2 linked regions of the Mytilus edulis genome follow. The protein of the gene in region 1 purifies or fractionates together with the protein of each later gene. This does not show direct contact. Links are inferred from orthologs where the notes say so. Each region holds a gene or a part of one and is shown on either strand. Other genes may lie near its edges.

Region 1 (7,169 bases):
TCAAATCCAAAAAAAGTATTGCATATGTTTTTTATAACTCAATGGATAGTTTTCATTGTAAAACTTATGTACATATACTTTTTTCTGAAGAAAATTCTTTAATTTATTCATATTTAGAAGAAGTTTACATTATTTGAATTGCTTCCTTCCAGCAAGCAATTCCCCCGATATATTTTCCGTATGCAAGATGACCTCAGTGTGACCCATCTCGTAAAAATCCGGTGACCACAATACGCCAATCTCATTAAAATCCGATGTTCTGATACGCTACCCTCCACTAACGTGAGGGTAGCGTATCAGAACATCGGATTTTAATGAGATGGTAGCGTATCAGAACATCGGATTTTAATGAGATTGCACAATACGCATGGATGTCCTTAAAATAAACTATTATCTGAATTTACATGTTAAACACGTGCTCAATTTCCATGCTTTTTTGTTTATTTTTCGTCAATTGTTGACAAACAGGTGACAATCGTTAAACTTCGGCTTTAAAACACGAACTTTAATTACCTGCCATATTTTCACAACAACACTGACCGATTGAAAAAAACAATTGACGATTATACGATATTTACACGAAAAAAATGATAAATTCGAGCACAGAAGACTAAGTTTATGATGTTTGTATGTATTGGTTTAAGAATTGGAAGAACAATATTTTTCACCGGTCACTCGTTTCTTATGACTTTAACAGTAAAAGTAGTATTAATAAATAAAATAATTTTGTCATTCAAAGTATTACAAGATACATAAGTAAAAGCAATATTAATAAATAAAATAATTTTGTCATTCAAAGTATGATGGGATACATAAGCACAGAGTCACGTCAAATTGATATCTTAAAAAAACAGACTTAACAGTAAAAGTAATATTGATAAAGACAAATAAAAGAATACTATAACACATTATTAAGATAATAAACAACGTGAATATTTAACATACCTCTGGATACGATCCAAGAGACATAAGACTGAAAAATGGCATCCTTGATGGTCCACCAATGTTTGTAGCAACAGAGAACACATTCTCTAAGGTCTGACATAAATCATTGACCAGTTCTCTAAATGTTAATAGTGGATAGGACGTGTCAACCAACAACATTCTGGCTGAAAAATAAATTATACTGTACTTTTATTTGTGGCATACCAATTTTTGTGATTTTTGTGGGTGGCTTCATCAACATGTCCCAACGAAATATATAGCAACTGTTGTCAAAATACAGACATGGAAAGGTCCCCATGTATACTATAGATTTGACTTGCTACATGGTTATGGGCATACAGTATAGAGAATACATCTAGAATATAAGCAAAATACTATGAACTATATATATACAACTTCAGACAGAATTTTACCAATTTAATCTTTAAAAAAAACAAAAGGATAAAATAAAATCCCATCTTAACACCTCAAAATACCTATCTTAAAAATAAAAATGACCAAAATAAAGAATTATGAACTATGTCATGACATTAAAAATTAGCATTCTTGAACATAACCCTACTCACATCAGATCTGTTAAAGGATAAAAAAAAAACCTCATAATAATCTAATTGGTGAAATTGCAGGTGGCTTCATGTCAAATAAATAATCTGCATTTGTAAAACATACTTACCAGGTTGTTTACCAAGCAGCATCCTTGTACCCTCTATTTTTTTCATGTTGCCTGCCATATCAGCAGATGATGTTTAAGTGACTAGATAATAAAATATCACATCTGTATTGTCTTTACTGCCATCTACAAAATATAACAAATAATAAAAGTTCTCTTAAATATATGGAGAAAGACTACATTTTGGTCTCTTGTGGAGAGTTGTCTCATTGGCAATCATACCACATCATCTTTTTTATATATATATACAGTTATTCAAGCAAAGTGATCATAACAATATATCAGAATAAGAAAATATGATAAGATTGACAATCAGTTAACTATCTATCAAAGACAAGGGATAATGATATTTAAGTCCTCAACAAGTTACCATTCAATGGATAATGATGTGTGATAGGTGTTTAACATCCAGTTGCAAATATTACATGCATATTGGGACCAAGACATGGTTTCTCACCTTGAAAAATAAAAAAAATGATTTCCTGTAAATAGATGAAACTTTGAATATGTTGTTATTTATTTGAACATGTCTTCAAAGTTTAATTGCATTAAATAACTTTTTATGGAAAAGGTAATACTAATATCCCTAGATGATATGAAATAATTTACGGATTGCGAATGTAAGTTGTTACTTGAGAGATGAGTAATAATATCAAATTATACTTAATATCTAATAATTTTGTCATTCATCTTTTCTTAAGTGTAAGTAACAATGAGTAATTTGGGAAGATGTATTAACTGATGTTTGCTAAATGCCCAGTGGCAAATATTTCATGAATGTTCAGAATAAGAATTTGTAAATGAAATACATTAATATAAGTGTACTCAAGTAAAAATGTACAGAGTCATAGATACATCTACTATGGTGCATACTTATACTCTGTAAAATGGGGATACTAATTAAATCAAAATATTATTAAATTTATTTCAAATATCTATGCATTGGATGAAAATGTACATGTAACTAATTTCTGTTATGCATTCATGTGTATCCCCTCTTAGACCCAAATGTTTTTTTTTCTAATTTGGGCACCAATTGTAACTGGGGAGCATGATTATTTGGACTACGGTAGATTTAACTAGATTCAACATACAAAAAATACAAAATCATCTTTGTCTCCTCTGGGAGGCAAACATGGGACCTCTGTGTTACAAGGAAGAGTGTAAACTGACTAAGCAATAGAAGAACTTCTTAAGCTCATCCGCTAAGGTAGAATATACTGCATGTACTAAGGAGAGCAATACACCTTATCGCTAATCCCGGCTTACCCAGCTGCTTGTACTTTTGATGTCATACACAATCACTTTCCATTGTGGAGTAAAATATTTTGTTTTATGACTTCAAAATTTTACATGGAACCTGTGTGATATCCAGTCCTAGCAGACAAATAGCGATAAGGTGTATCCTGTAACACTATCAAGCAATATATATCACTGCATGTGGTCACTAGTGCTTTAAAAAAATCCTGGGGAATGTCACCGTGAGCTCCAATGTTATTAAGATTAAACAAAGACATATATATACACATATCTTTCATATCTGAAAGAGGTGTCAAACAAGGCGATGTTCTAAGCCCTTTACTATTTACTATTTTTATTAATAATATTGTTGAAAATTTAAAAAACAATAGCACAGACCCTGAAACATTGAAAATAGATTTTAAATATTAACATGAAGCAAGTAGCACTAGTAATGTGTTCATATATGTCTTTTGAAATATATTGTGCAAAATAAAGAAAATAAAGATTGGTTTCCTGTCACGTAAACGGTGAATCAAAATGTATTAATTTTTTCTTAAAAAACTCAATTGTTCCATTAATACTATTCTAACACCAACACAACCCACAGAATAAAAGTTAAAGTTTTAGAACTTATAAAAAAAGGATACAAAAAGAAACCAAAGTCTGAATACTAAATTATGGTCCATATATCTGTATATCAAACTATTACTTAATAACAAGTGTAGAAAAACACTTAGATTAATATCATCTTTTATTAATCAATCATTTGAATTAAGGAAAAATGTACTTATAAATGAGTAATATGAACAATTTGAAGCTATAACATACAATATACTTATGTCAGTAGTCTATTAACCTATATATATTGATATTTATAACTGCACATTTCATTGTTCATAATGTGCACAATGATATACTATGTAATATTGTTTAATTGCTGCATCATTACTATTAGTATAATAGTTGTATGGGCCGTTGCCAATTATTGTAATTGAGTTTGTGCCAATACAATATTTGTATGTCTCTGGATTAAAATTGGGGATTGAGACTGCATGCATGCTTCTCAAAACATGGAATAAGTATTGCTGACTGGCATTAGGCACCACCAATCATTTACTTTGTAGAAATAATGTTTTAGTATCAACTCAATCTTTACTTGGCTAGTGCTTAACTAAATGCAGGTGTATCAATCTATTTTTGTTTTGCAGACGAAAAATTACAAACAGGAAGTTCATAAACTAATTTGAGAAATGCTTACTGAAACGGTCAAGATATTCCGGAAACATTTTTTATGAATTTTTAAAAATGCTATGGCACCACACGACCAAGTAGGGACCAAGTACACTATTGGTATTTGAGTAACAAAATATATAAATGTAAAAAACTCTTCAAGCCGCAACATTGTGGTGAATGACAAATTCAGTGAAATTGTGTTGAGAATATTCGATTTGTCGTATCCGATATGTTTCGCCTCCATCTCCGAAGTCGGTTTATTACCGGAAGCACGTGTTGAAAAAGCAAAACACAAATGTTTACCACTGTACTTCGTTTTTGTGAACATCGAGGCTCGAACATCTACATACTGCGTGACAAGTAAGACAGTATCTCACTGTAAAACATATTTTATATGTAAAACAATGTAAGTTATTCATACAAACCAGGTTTTAAAACAAAAACGTTTGATCTCAGAAAAACACCAGTTAACAGGTCAGGAATAACCACCAATTGGTGGATTATACCTCAATTGACGTATAATCCACCAATTGAAGTATATTGGTATAGACCAATTGACGTATAATGCAATTTTTTTGTAATAGAATGCTAGTGTGAGATAGGAGCATGATTTTGCAACTTGCAACCTATTTTATGGCCCTTATTGAGTCCTCTGAAAGTTTCAGTTTTGTCAAAGCCTGCTGCATCTCTTGTTACATCCCAGCTCCTTTGTTCTAACAGGGGTGATCTGAACCGGATCACCCCTGCCAGATCACCCTAGTTTGAGTTTCTTTGTTATGCATGCTTTCCTTTGTTCTGTAACATTTTGGCGGGAATGTCAAATCCACTATAAAACTTATAATTAATTTTACGGAAAAGACTATCTATCAAAATTCACGTAGAAAAATCCAGTAGATATGCTGGGATTCGAACTCAAGACCTTTAGCATATCAAGCCACGACACATACCACTACACCAGGACGACTTGATACGAAATAATAGTAATTTGACATACTTAAAGGAAGCAAGATATTTTTATTAGTGGGGCGAGTTGTCAAACCTTTATTCAGTGGGGTTTTAACCTTTTACGTTAATTTGTGAGTTTTCAGACTGATTGTTCAATTTGATTTTACACTTTTTCAAAGTGGGGCAAGTCGGTAAACAAGATTGGGAGGATATTTTTATAAAGTGGCGATAAAGCGTGGGCCGATTGGCAAGTGGGTCGAGTTGACATTGTTTGATATCTACTCATCGTGTTTGGGGGTCAAAAAGGGTATACATCATATAGTAATATATAAAGTATATTGTTATGGTTGTGTGGCGTTCTAAACTAGATTTTATGAATTGTAAATGGTTTTTCGTCTAATCTAAAACAGCTGGGATGTAAAATAGTTATCCCAGTCGGACTTGGTGTGTCAGTGTTAGATCACCCTCTGGCCTCCGGCCATCGGGGTGATCTTACACTGACACACCGCGTCCTTATGGGATAACTATTAAAGAATGCATGTGTACAACAATTCTTTTGTTGAAACATTTGTACTATTGACCATGATTGACTTTTGATAATGAAAGTCAAGTATTAACAAAGAGCTCCATTCACCTGTGGAGTTGTACTCATGATCGCATGACTGCAGACAGTAATGATGTCCATTGACAGGTGATTACAGGTAAATTTGCCAATCAAGAATTGACAAGATAACAATAGAAGAAACTGCAAATACAATTATTGATTAAATGCAATATGTTATGTCACTATACTAAACTAGGAATGTTTGACAAGTTTTCATACCATAATATGGTTTTAAGAAAACAATGCTCCATTTTGATAGAATAATTTCTTTTGAAAAACAAAGAATTATACACCAATTGGTCTATACCATTATACGTCAATTGAGGTATAATCCACCAATTGGTGGTTATTCCTGACCTGGTTAAGACAGTTTTCTCACAAATTCACAAATGTAGCCTAATCTTTCTTAATACTCAAGTATATAACCAAAACTCACACTGTTGCTTCTGTGTCGGTCTGAATAACTAGAAATATGAATTTGAATTCAGTATTAGTCGAAATAATTTTGACGTCTGGCAAGGCAAAATTAAAATAGCCTTGCCGTCATAATTAGTTGGACTAGTTCAGTATGTGACCGGAGAGCATAAATTTCATTACAAAATTGCTCGTCACCCAATGTCTGAACCTAGGTCTCTGTGTTATAAGTCTTTTTTTTCTTTTATTCAACAACAGTATTGCTCGCTGTTAACAATTACTACACTACTGTGTTACAAGTCAGTGTGTATACCCACTGAACTAATAAAAGTAATTCCTTAGCTCCACTGCTTACGGCTAACTTTGCATCTACCACATTTTACTATTTATGGAAGCAATCCTGTTACATGTCCCCACCTCAAGAGTGATTATACTCTACAATGATGATATATTCATTTTTATATATATTATTCCCGGGCTAGGTAATATTCCTCTAACCGTTGGTTTTATTGTTGGGTGCCAAATGTAATGGGAGAGCATGATTCTTGTTACAAAATCATTTGGGACTCAAACCAGGGAAGTCTGTTATAAGGCAGTGCGACAGATATGTGCCAACTGAGCTAAAGAAGTACTTCCTTAGCTGAACCGCTTACGGCTGACTAAGTATCTATTTTCTGCAACAAGTTAGATTTACAGTTTTACATGCCCAGGGAGAAGTGCTAACAACAGAATTGCAATGTTTCCCACTCCTGAGAAAGATATTATATAAAAATGTAAAAAGATGTCCGCAAATATCAAAAATCATCAAAAGGACCTTGTATTAAGAGCTACGTTTTCGCAGCTATGTGTATGGATGAAGTTACTCAAATCTTTTCATGTTGATAAATTGAGTGTAGTTTGCTTAACATCTAGTGACATCTTTTAATGCTGATTGACTTGAGTGAAGTTTACTTATTGACTACTGTGGATTCATTTATTTTCGTGGGTACCAATTTTCGTGGTTTGAGAAAAATTTGCATATTTGTGGATATTTGATTTCGTGGTTTTGCCAAAGTCTGCACACATTCCTTCAGGATATTTGTAATTCGTTGAATATTTGAATTCGTGGTTCTCATG
Region 2 (7,431 bases), on another chromosome or scaffold:
TGATCCAGTCACATTCTTATGTGTCTGTCCCATTGGTTGTCCATGAACCTTGATGAGTCAACTGTACCATATGGCATATTGTTTGGATTTTCCCCATTACAGAAGGCCGTACCGTACGGTTGCCCATAATTTCTTGTCCACTTCTTTTGAACTTTTATGGATAGTTGTCTCATTGACAATCATGCCACATCTCCTTATTTTTATATCACACTACATGCTGAAATAGCAAACTAGAAATAATGATTCCTAACCTGTCCCTGAAAATACTACCATTAAAACAATTAAGAGAAGCTGACAAACATACCTCTTCTGGTCCGTACAACTTATCAGCATATTCATTTAACAAGTTGTACATTTCTCTAACAGCTTGTTTCTCGTTACCATTACAAGTGACAAGGAATCCTCTCATGTCTGTGTCCAGGTTGTTTCCATGTGATACTTTCTTGTGAGCACATTTTAAATAATAAGATTTTGGTCTTTTCTTTCCCCTTCCTTGTTTGTCACTCATCTTTTGTCTGAAGAAAAAATCAACATAGAGTTTATTTGACCACAATATTAGCGAAATCTATAATATTAATTTCATTCTAAGACATGGGGGCCATTTTAAAAAAAATGAGGCAAAAGTGTGACAACTAGTCAGCAAGGAATGAGTGAAAAACAATTATGTGCAAATTGTAATACATGAAAAGGATTTATAATTAGATATAAGAAGATGTGGTATGAGTGCCAATGAGACAACTCTCTCATCCAAGTCACAATTTGTAAAAGTAAACTATTATTATAGGTCAAAGTATGGTCTTCAACACAAGGCCTTGGCTCACACTGAACAGCAAGCTATAAAGCCCCAAAAATGACATGTATAAAACCATTCAGTTTCTGGAGCTATTTTCTGTATGTCCCGTGCTCAGAATTCCTTATCTAGCCCTATTTAGTGTTTTGAGGAATATTTTTGCCAGCTTCCTCACTACTAATTCACAGGAATTGCTTTGGTGGTCTCATGGTAGCTTGTTTGTTAGCTCTTAGGTTAGAAACCCAGGCCTGGTCAAACCAAAGTCTAAAGCTGGACAGTGGTATTTGCTGCTACTCTTTCCCACGTTTAACAAAATGTAGATTTATTATAATGACCAATTTATGTCATTTATACTCCAAAACAAGCCACCCAACTTATAATTATTTCCATGCCACTGCATATTCATGAATTTAAAGAATTTATACCATATAAATATGAGGGTCGTAATAAAGGGTACTATCATGATGAATAACTGTAAAACAATTGACATTAAGCACTGCTGTCATTAGGGAATTGTACTTATTGTCCTCTTGCATCGTGGAAAGAATAATACAATAAGTTGTCAGGCTGTGTATAGACTGTATAGGTTGTGTGGTCTGAATGTTCATTTAACTTTCTCCCCCAAAATAGACAACATTTTATCAGCAATTCCGTACCATTTCGACTGGCTTCCCTTGGCCAGAGGTACTGCTTCCAATCGCGTCAGGAATGCTGTAAAATGTTTCGGTCGCCGAGAGTAAAGGACAAAGTATAAATATCGCTAGTCTATATGTTGAATTTGAACTATGTATCGTTCATCAAACTATCGGGAATGGCCAGTTTTCTGTAAAAATGGTTGTATCTCGAGGGTTGTATGTTTGATTACCATATTTTCGGGAGCTTAAGATTGAATTTAAAGAATACGAAATCGGGCAATTTAATTTCAAATTAATTCTGTAAGAGAGAAATAATTTCCTATCACTGTTCTTTTCCTCCTTAAGGCTCGTATTGAGTTAAGATGGTCCGTTATTATCTATTTCTCTTCTAGTGTTTGATGGCAGCATTCTCGGAAGGTTCCTGTGGGTGCCTCAACAAAATATAACTTTGTTTACTGTGTGCGAATGGCTAGTATGATTAGCGCTGGTTGCAACGGCGGTTTCCTTACGGAATGCAGGGGTTCACGATAAAAAATAAAATCAATTACAAACGAAAGTGAACCAACGCCTGGTGTGTCTGTAGTACGGTAGAGTCTTATAACAACAACACTTTAGGGACTGCTGCAAAAAATTTATTGATCGACATGTTTTGGTGCCTAGGGCACTGTCATCAGGATAAAAACAATACATAAAATCATGCTGAAGAACAAAATCGGGTTGTTAAAATTTAAACGTCACAATGTTACAATGGTAAGTAACGTTATTAATAGCAACTGAAAGTGAAAGTGAAAGTTCATTGAAAGTATGGAAGTAAACTATAAAAAGAAATTAAAATAAAATGTTTTTGTTGTGAAAATGTTTGTTAAAATTATTCTGCCAACATGTGTTTGTCCTCTTGCATCGTGGAAAGAATAATACAATAAGTTGTCAGGCTGTGTTCATTTAACTTTCTTCCCCAAAATAGACGACATTTTATCAGCAATTCCGTACCATTTCGACTGACTTGACTGGAAGCAGTACCTCTGGCCAAGGGAAGCCAGTCGAAATGGTACATAATTGCTGATAAAATGTCGTGCTTTTTCAGCATGATTTTATGTATTGTTTTTATCCTGATGACGGTGCCCTAGGCACCGAAACATGTCGATCAATAAATTTTCTGCAGCAGTCCCTAAAGTGTTGTTGTTATAAGACTCTCTACACTTTATGTTTTTTATCATAACGACCCTGCATACCCGGAGAGATATCCACTTTATGGACTCTACCGTACTACAGACTCACCAGGCGTTGGTTCACTTTCGTTTGTAATTGAAATTATAAAATTGTTTGGGTTTTTTTTTTGGCTGATTGGTGAAAATATAACCATCACAAATTATACAGGTCATGGAATTATGTATCTTAACTATATACTGAATACATAAAAAATAAAGAATGTAAAAGTGCTTGTCTTTGATTAATAAAGCACAGCTGTGTTTACCTGTTTTTGATGCAAACAGTGTTCTGTATTGTGGAAAAAAGGAGTGTGTGCTTTTGAGCTTCAACATGTATGGAAAGATCTAGAGAAACTCAAATTGCATGAAAGAAAAGGAAATAATCCGAGAAGTTCCGCAAATATTTCCCACATTTTAAAGATGGCGGACGTATCTTTAGATGATTACATTCAGAAAAAGAACTTTACTGTTCAAATTAGGTACTGAAAAAGCATTTAACCTAATTCTTAAGAGATTCTTATCTTTTCACCAACAACAAAATAGCAAACAACATTTTTGTAATCCAATAAACGGCCAACGAGTAGCATTACAAGGAAAACAAAAACCAAAAGTAGTTTCATAGAAGAGAAAGCAAAATAAATATCATGAATATTGATGATTTTAGGAAACGAAAAGTGATTTTTCATAGCTACCCCACAATTAACACTGGAAGTAAACATGCACAATTTTAAATCTAATTCGATTTTATATATAAGAAAATCATGATTGTTTTGTGTTATAAAAAAGATGTGGAATGATTGCCAATGAGACAACTCTCCTCAAGAGACCAAATGACACAGAAATTAACAACTACAATGTATAGGTCACTGTACAACCTTCATGACTGAACAAAGCCCATACTGATAGTCAGCTATAAAAAGTCTGGAAATGAAAAATGTAAAACAATTCAAACGAGAAAAACTAACTTCCTAATTTATATTAATTTGCTTTGATGTCAATACACCTTATCGCTAATCCCGGCTGACCCGACCGCTTGAACTTTTGATGCATACAACAATCACTTTTCCATTGTGGCGTCAGATATTTTGTTTTATGACGTCAAAATTTTACGGGAACCTGTGTGATATCCAGTAATGGCGGACAAATAGCGATAAGGTGTATACTGCATGTGCAAATGTATTTAGCTTGGTATAAATAAATCTGAAGATAAATTAAACTAAACAACTTGGCCTTTGATCTCACTTTATCTATAGTAATACACTAATCAAAACATGATTAACAATGAAAAAAAAACATTTATATATACTAAACAAAACTCGATTAAAAAATTATTGGTGTCAAATTATTGAGAAAAAAAACTAATAAAAAGGTGTAAAAGTGAGAGGGGGTGAACGCAACCATATTCACCAAACAGTGTATTTGATTGTAAATTGTTGCAAAGCTTATGATAGTAAGTCTTCTGTATAAGAAAAAGATTGTTGATAATTACGTCCTTTTGTACGGGTGTAACGCATTCACAAAATACCAACTCGAAACTGGTGTATTAATCTATGAACACTATTGATGTATTACACTTTCACCAGGACAAAACAAGATATAAATTGCAATAAGGACTATATATATATATATATCCATTCAGGAAATTCACCTCTAGGGATTCAAGAGTGAATATGATTAACAGTTTAGTGACAGAATATTATTATGTATCCTCCTCTCAATTATTGAAACCTAGACTTTTAGGTTACAAATCATTGTGTCTTCTCTTTACATGTAAGTTTAACTAAAAATGTCAAGGAAACGTCTGATTTAACAAAGAACAGATTTCATCACATCTATTGGGTAAAGAGTAACCATTATTTTTGTTGTCTTGTTCACTTTCCAATTATATTTATCCTTTGGTGCACTGCAGTTGTTGTCCCTTTGTCCAGGACCTTAGTCTATGGACCCAAATGCCTCACTTTTCAACCAACAATAATAGCTGCGTTAAGTGTTTACAATTTTATGTTGCTATATTTACCTCAGGACGGCAAAATCCATGAAATCAGATCTAGTTACAACTCCACTGCTTGCGTCCATTCAAAAGACCTTTTTGTGGAAGTGTTCTTGCCTTCTCTGAAAGACTATAATTTTATATGTATACTAGAACACACCCGTATATCGCGGATCCGTGACTGAATTAAAGTATATAACTATGTGCAAGCCTTATTTTAGTATTAGTATTGTCATCTGATAAAGTCATGCTGATTAATAGACCCTGTTCACACTAGCATTTTTTTTTATCGATCTAATTTGAATCGATCTAAATAAAACCAGTTAGCGTTCACATTATCTTTAATCATATCGATCTCTATCGGTCTAATATGAACCACTGCGTTCACACTACAATTAAAAACCAATAGAACTAAAACCGTAAAACTATAAACATTGTGCATAAATAGAACTGATTAATCAAATTCATGTGCTGATACACTGATACACACACTTGGAAAAAAAATGGATAAATTTATTGTTTCTCTTGAATCACAATTTAAAATTTTGATACTGGTGTTATTGTAGTTTTCTTTAATTTTGAAAAAAATAACTGTAGCAACGAAGTTACAACACGACGCCGGAAATCCTGCGGTTCCTGCAAAGAAAAAAAATCAACATAAGAAAAGAAGACACAGATTTCGCAAATCTATGCTATGGCGAAGACAACATGTTTACAGTTTGTTTTAAAGGTCTTTTAACAGAAAAATATGGGTTAAACAACGAACCTCTGAGATAGTTGTGCCGCTATACATGCGTATACGTTATTTTCGATTCAATCATACTAGTTTAAACCGATCTCTGCGTTAACATCTAAAGTAAGATCGGTTTACTTTAGATCAATTCAAACTAAACTACCTCTTTTGGTGTTTTAGTTTAGACCGATTGAAGATCGATTCAATGCGTTCACATTAGCCCTTAAACCAATCTAAAGTGAACCGGTCTAGTTTAAATCGATAAAAATGTCCAAGTGTGAACGGGGTCTTTCACAGTTTTCTCTGCTTTCAAATCTTTCTGTTTGAACCCGTCAAACTGGAACTTATCAATTATTGATAATATTAAAATTATTTGGAAAACAAAAGGTCCTGGAATGGAGTATTTTTTAATCAACAGCATTGTCCTATATTAGTTATAAATATTGAATTCTTTGATTCGCTGTTTTACGTCATGCCCGCTAACAAATTGAAAACTGTACCTATACGCCTTATTTTAGTCCAGATTTTTTTAGTATTTGTATTGTTATCTTAGAAAGTCTAACTGATTAAAATACTACAATAGGTAACAATTTGACAATTTTAAAAGTAGTGTCAACCCTGTGATTATGACCCGTGTAATACTATATAGCATATTAATCCTGAATACACCGTTTGGTGGTGCGCCTGTCAGATGCGGAACGTACAGATAAGGTAATCGGTAACAGGTGAATATACTATTGGTATCGTTATCGGACTCGACCCAGAACTTCTTAATTATTGACAATATTAATTACGCGGAAAACAAAAGGGCCTGGAGTGGTGTAATTTTTAATCTACAACTTTGTACTATATTAGTTATATATAAAGTTGATTTTTTTGATTCGTCGTTTTTACGTGATGACGGCTGACAAATAGGACCTCGTAATTTTAGTATTATAGATGTACATTGACAGTGTGTGCTTTTATGACAAAATATGAGAAATAAACAAGTACTAGGTAAATTTTACAAAGAAGTGAATATCCTATAAAATTCTTTCATTACATGTATGCAGGGTTCATATTTCATGCATTTATATTGAGAAAATTGGAAGCCAAAAGTTAAATCTGAAATATATGAATCTTTGTTTTGTTACCATTTAAGATAGAGCAAGAGTTTATTTCCTCTTGATGGAACTTCTATTTACACAATAATTTGTCATTCACTCAGCAGTATAAGTAAATTTCGATTGAGGTATTTTAATTTTATTATTTCATGTGTTATTCTTATCATACTACCTACATGTATGTAATACAAAAGAGTTATTTTCATTTTATATTCAGTATTATTTCTTTCCTTGAAGACTAAATGAAAACATGCAGCGAGAAATGAAAAATTTAACAAGCCAGCATTAACTGTAAAGAACAGTCACAGTTTAGTAACTGTACATACTGTGTCAATAATTTGAAGATATGTTTAATTTTGGCTTCTCGATAACCAGAAAAGCAGCTTTTCAGGGCCAATGAGGGGTTTAACAACTACTATCAAAACTTAAATTCTGTTGGAACATATGTATATTTGCAGTAGATTCAATCTCGTAACTGTTGTGAATCTGTATGCTATTTTTTTTAACGAGGGTTGTATGAAACATTGGGCTGCAACTTCTTAACTATGTAATTGATATCAATTTTTATTTTAGGAATACTGGAAATGAAAGCAGAGCAGGCAAAAGTTTTGTTAAAGGAAAAGTTAAATTTCAAAAACAGACAAATCGGTCTCCAAGGACAAACAGAGTAACATTTAGAAGTCCAAAGAATGTTATGATGCAAAAGCAGAGGAATGGGCGTTTGTCTCTGCAAACTAAAAAGAATAACATTATGTCATTACAAACTCGTAAAAATAAAGGACTACAGGATAAATCGAATATCAAACCCATTTCTGTGTCGTTTCAAAATAAAAATCTGTCTGGTTTTAATAAGACAGCTTTCGATGCAAGAGACAAAATCGCTGCAGCTAAACGTCCAAATGATGCACGTGACAAACTAGCAGCCAAAGCTAAATTATCTGATGCTAGGATGAAAATTCAGCAAAATAAAAA

What was found. Proteins that work in one complex are often made in the same cells at the same time.
Region 2: the proteins of RNA cytidine acetyltransferase-like (region 1) and THUMP domain-containing protein 1-like purify together in Homo sapiens (co-immunoprecipitation; 3 studies listed by BioGRID and IntAct, counting the BioPlex papers as one, with this or other methods). This does not show direct contact. The link is inferred for Mytilus edulis from reciprocal best matches to the Homo sapiens genes NAT10 and THUMPD1.

What each region holds. Positions count from the first base shown.
Region 1 is NC_092350.1:32,050,328-32,057,496, forward strand, and holds the start of RNA cytidine acetyltransferase-like, read left to right. Parts: upstream 1-4,160; 5' UTR 4,161-4,450; exon of another isoform or gene 4,451-4,496; intron 4,497-7,169. Other genes in the region: meiosis 1 arrest protein-like, read right to left, coding at 946-1,109, 1,619-1,676. UniProt on the Homo sapiens protein: RNA cytidine acetyltransferase that catalyzes the formation of N(4)-acetylcytidine (ac4C) modification on mRNAs, 18S rRNA and tRNAs.
Region 2 is NC_092352.1:15,219,437-15,226,867, forward strand, and holds the start of THUMP domain-containing protein 1-like, read right to left. Parts: upstream 3,022-7,431; 5' UTR 2,900-3,021; intron 516-2,899; 5' UTR 509-515; coding exon 305-508; intron 1-304. Other genes in the region: uncharacterized protein, read left to right, coding at 3,054-3,112, 7,033-7,431. UniProt on the Homo sapiens protein: Functions as a tRNA-binding adapter to mediate NAT10-dependent tRNA acetylation modifying cytidine to N4-acetylcytidine (ac4C).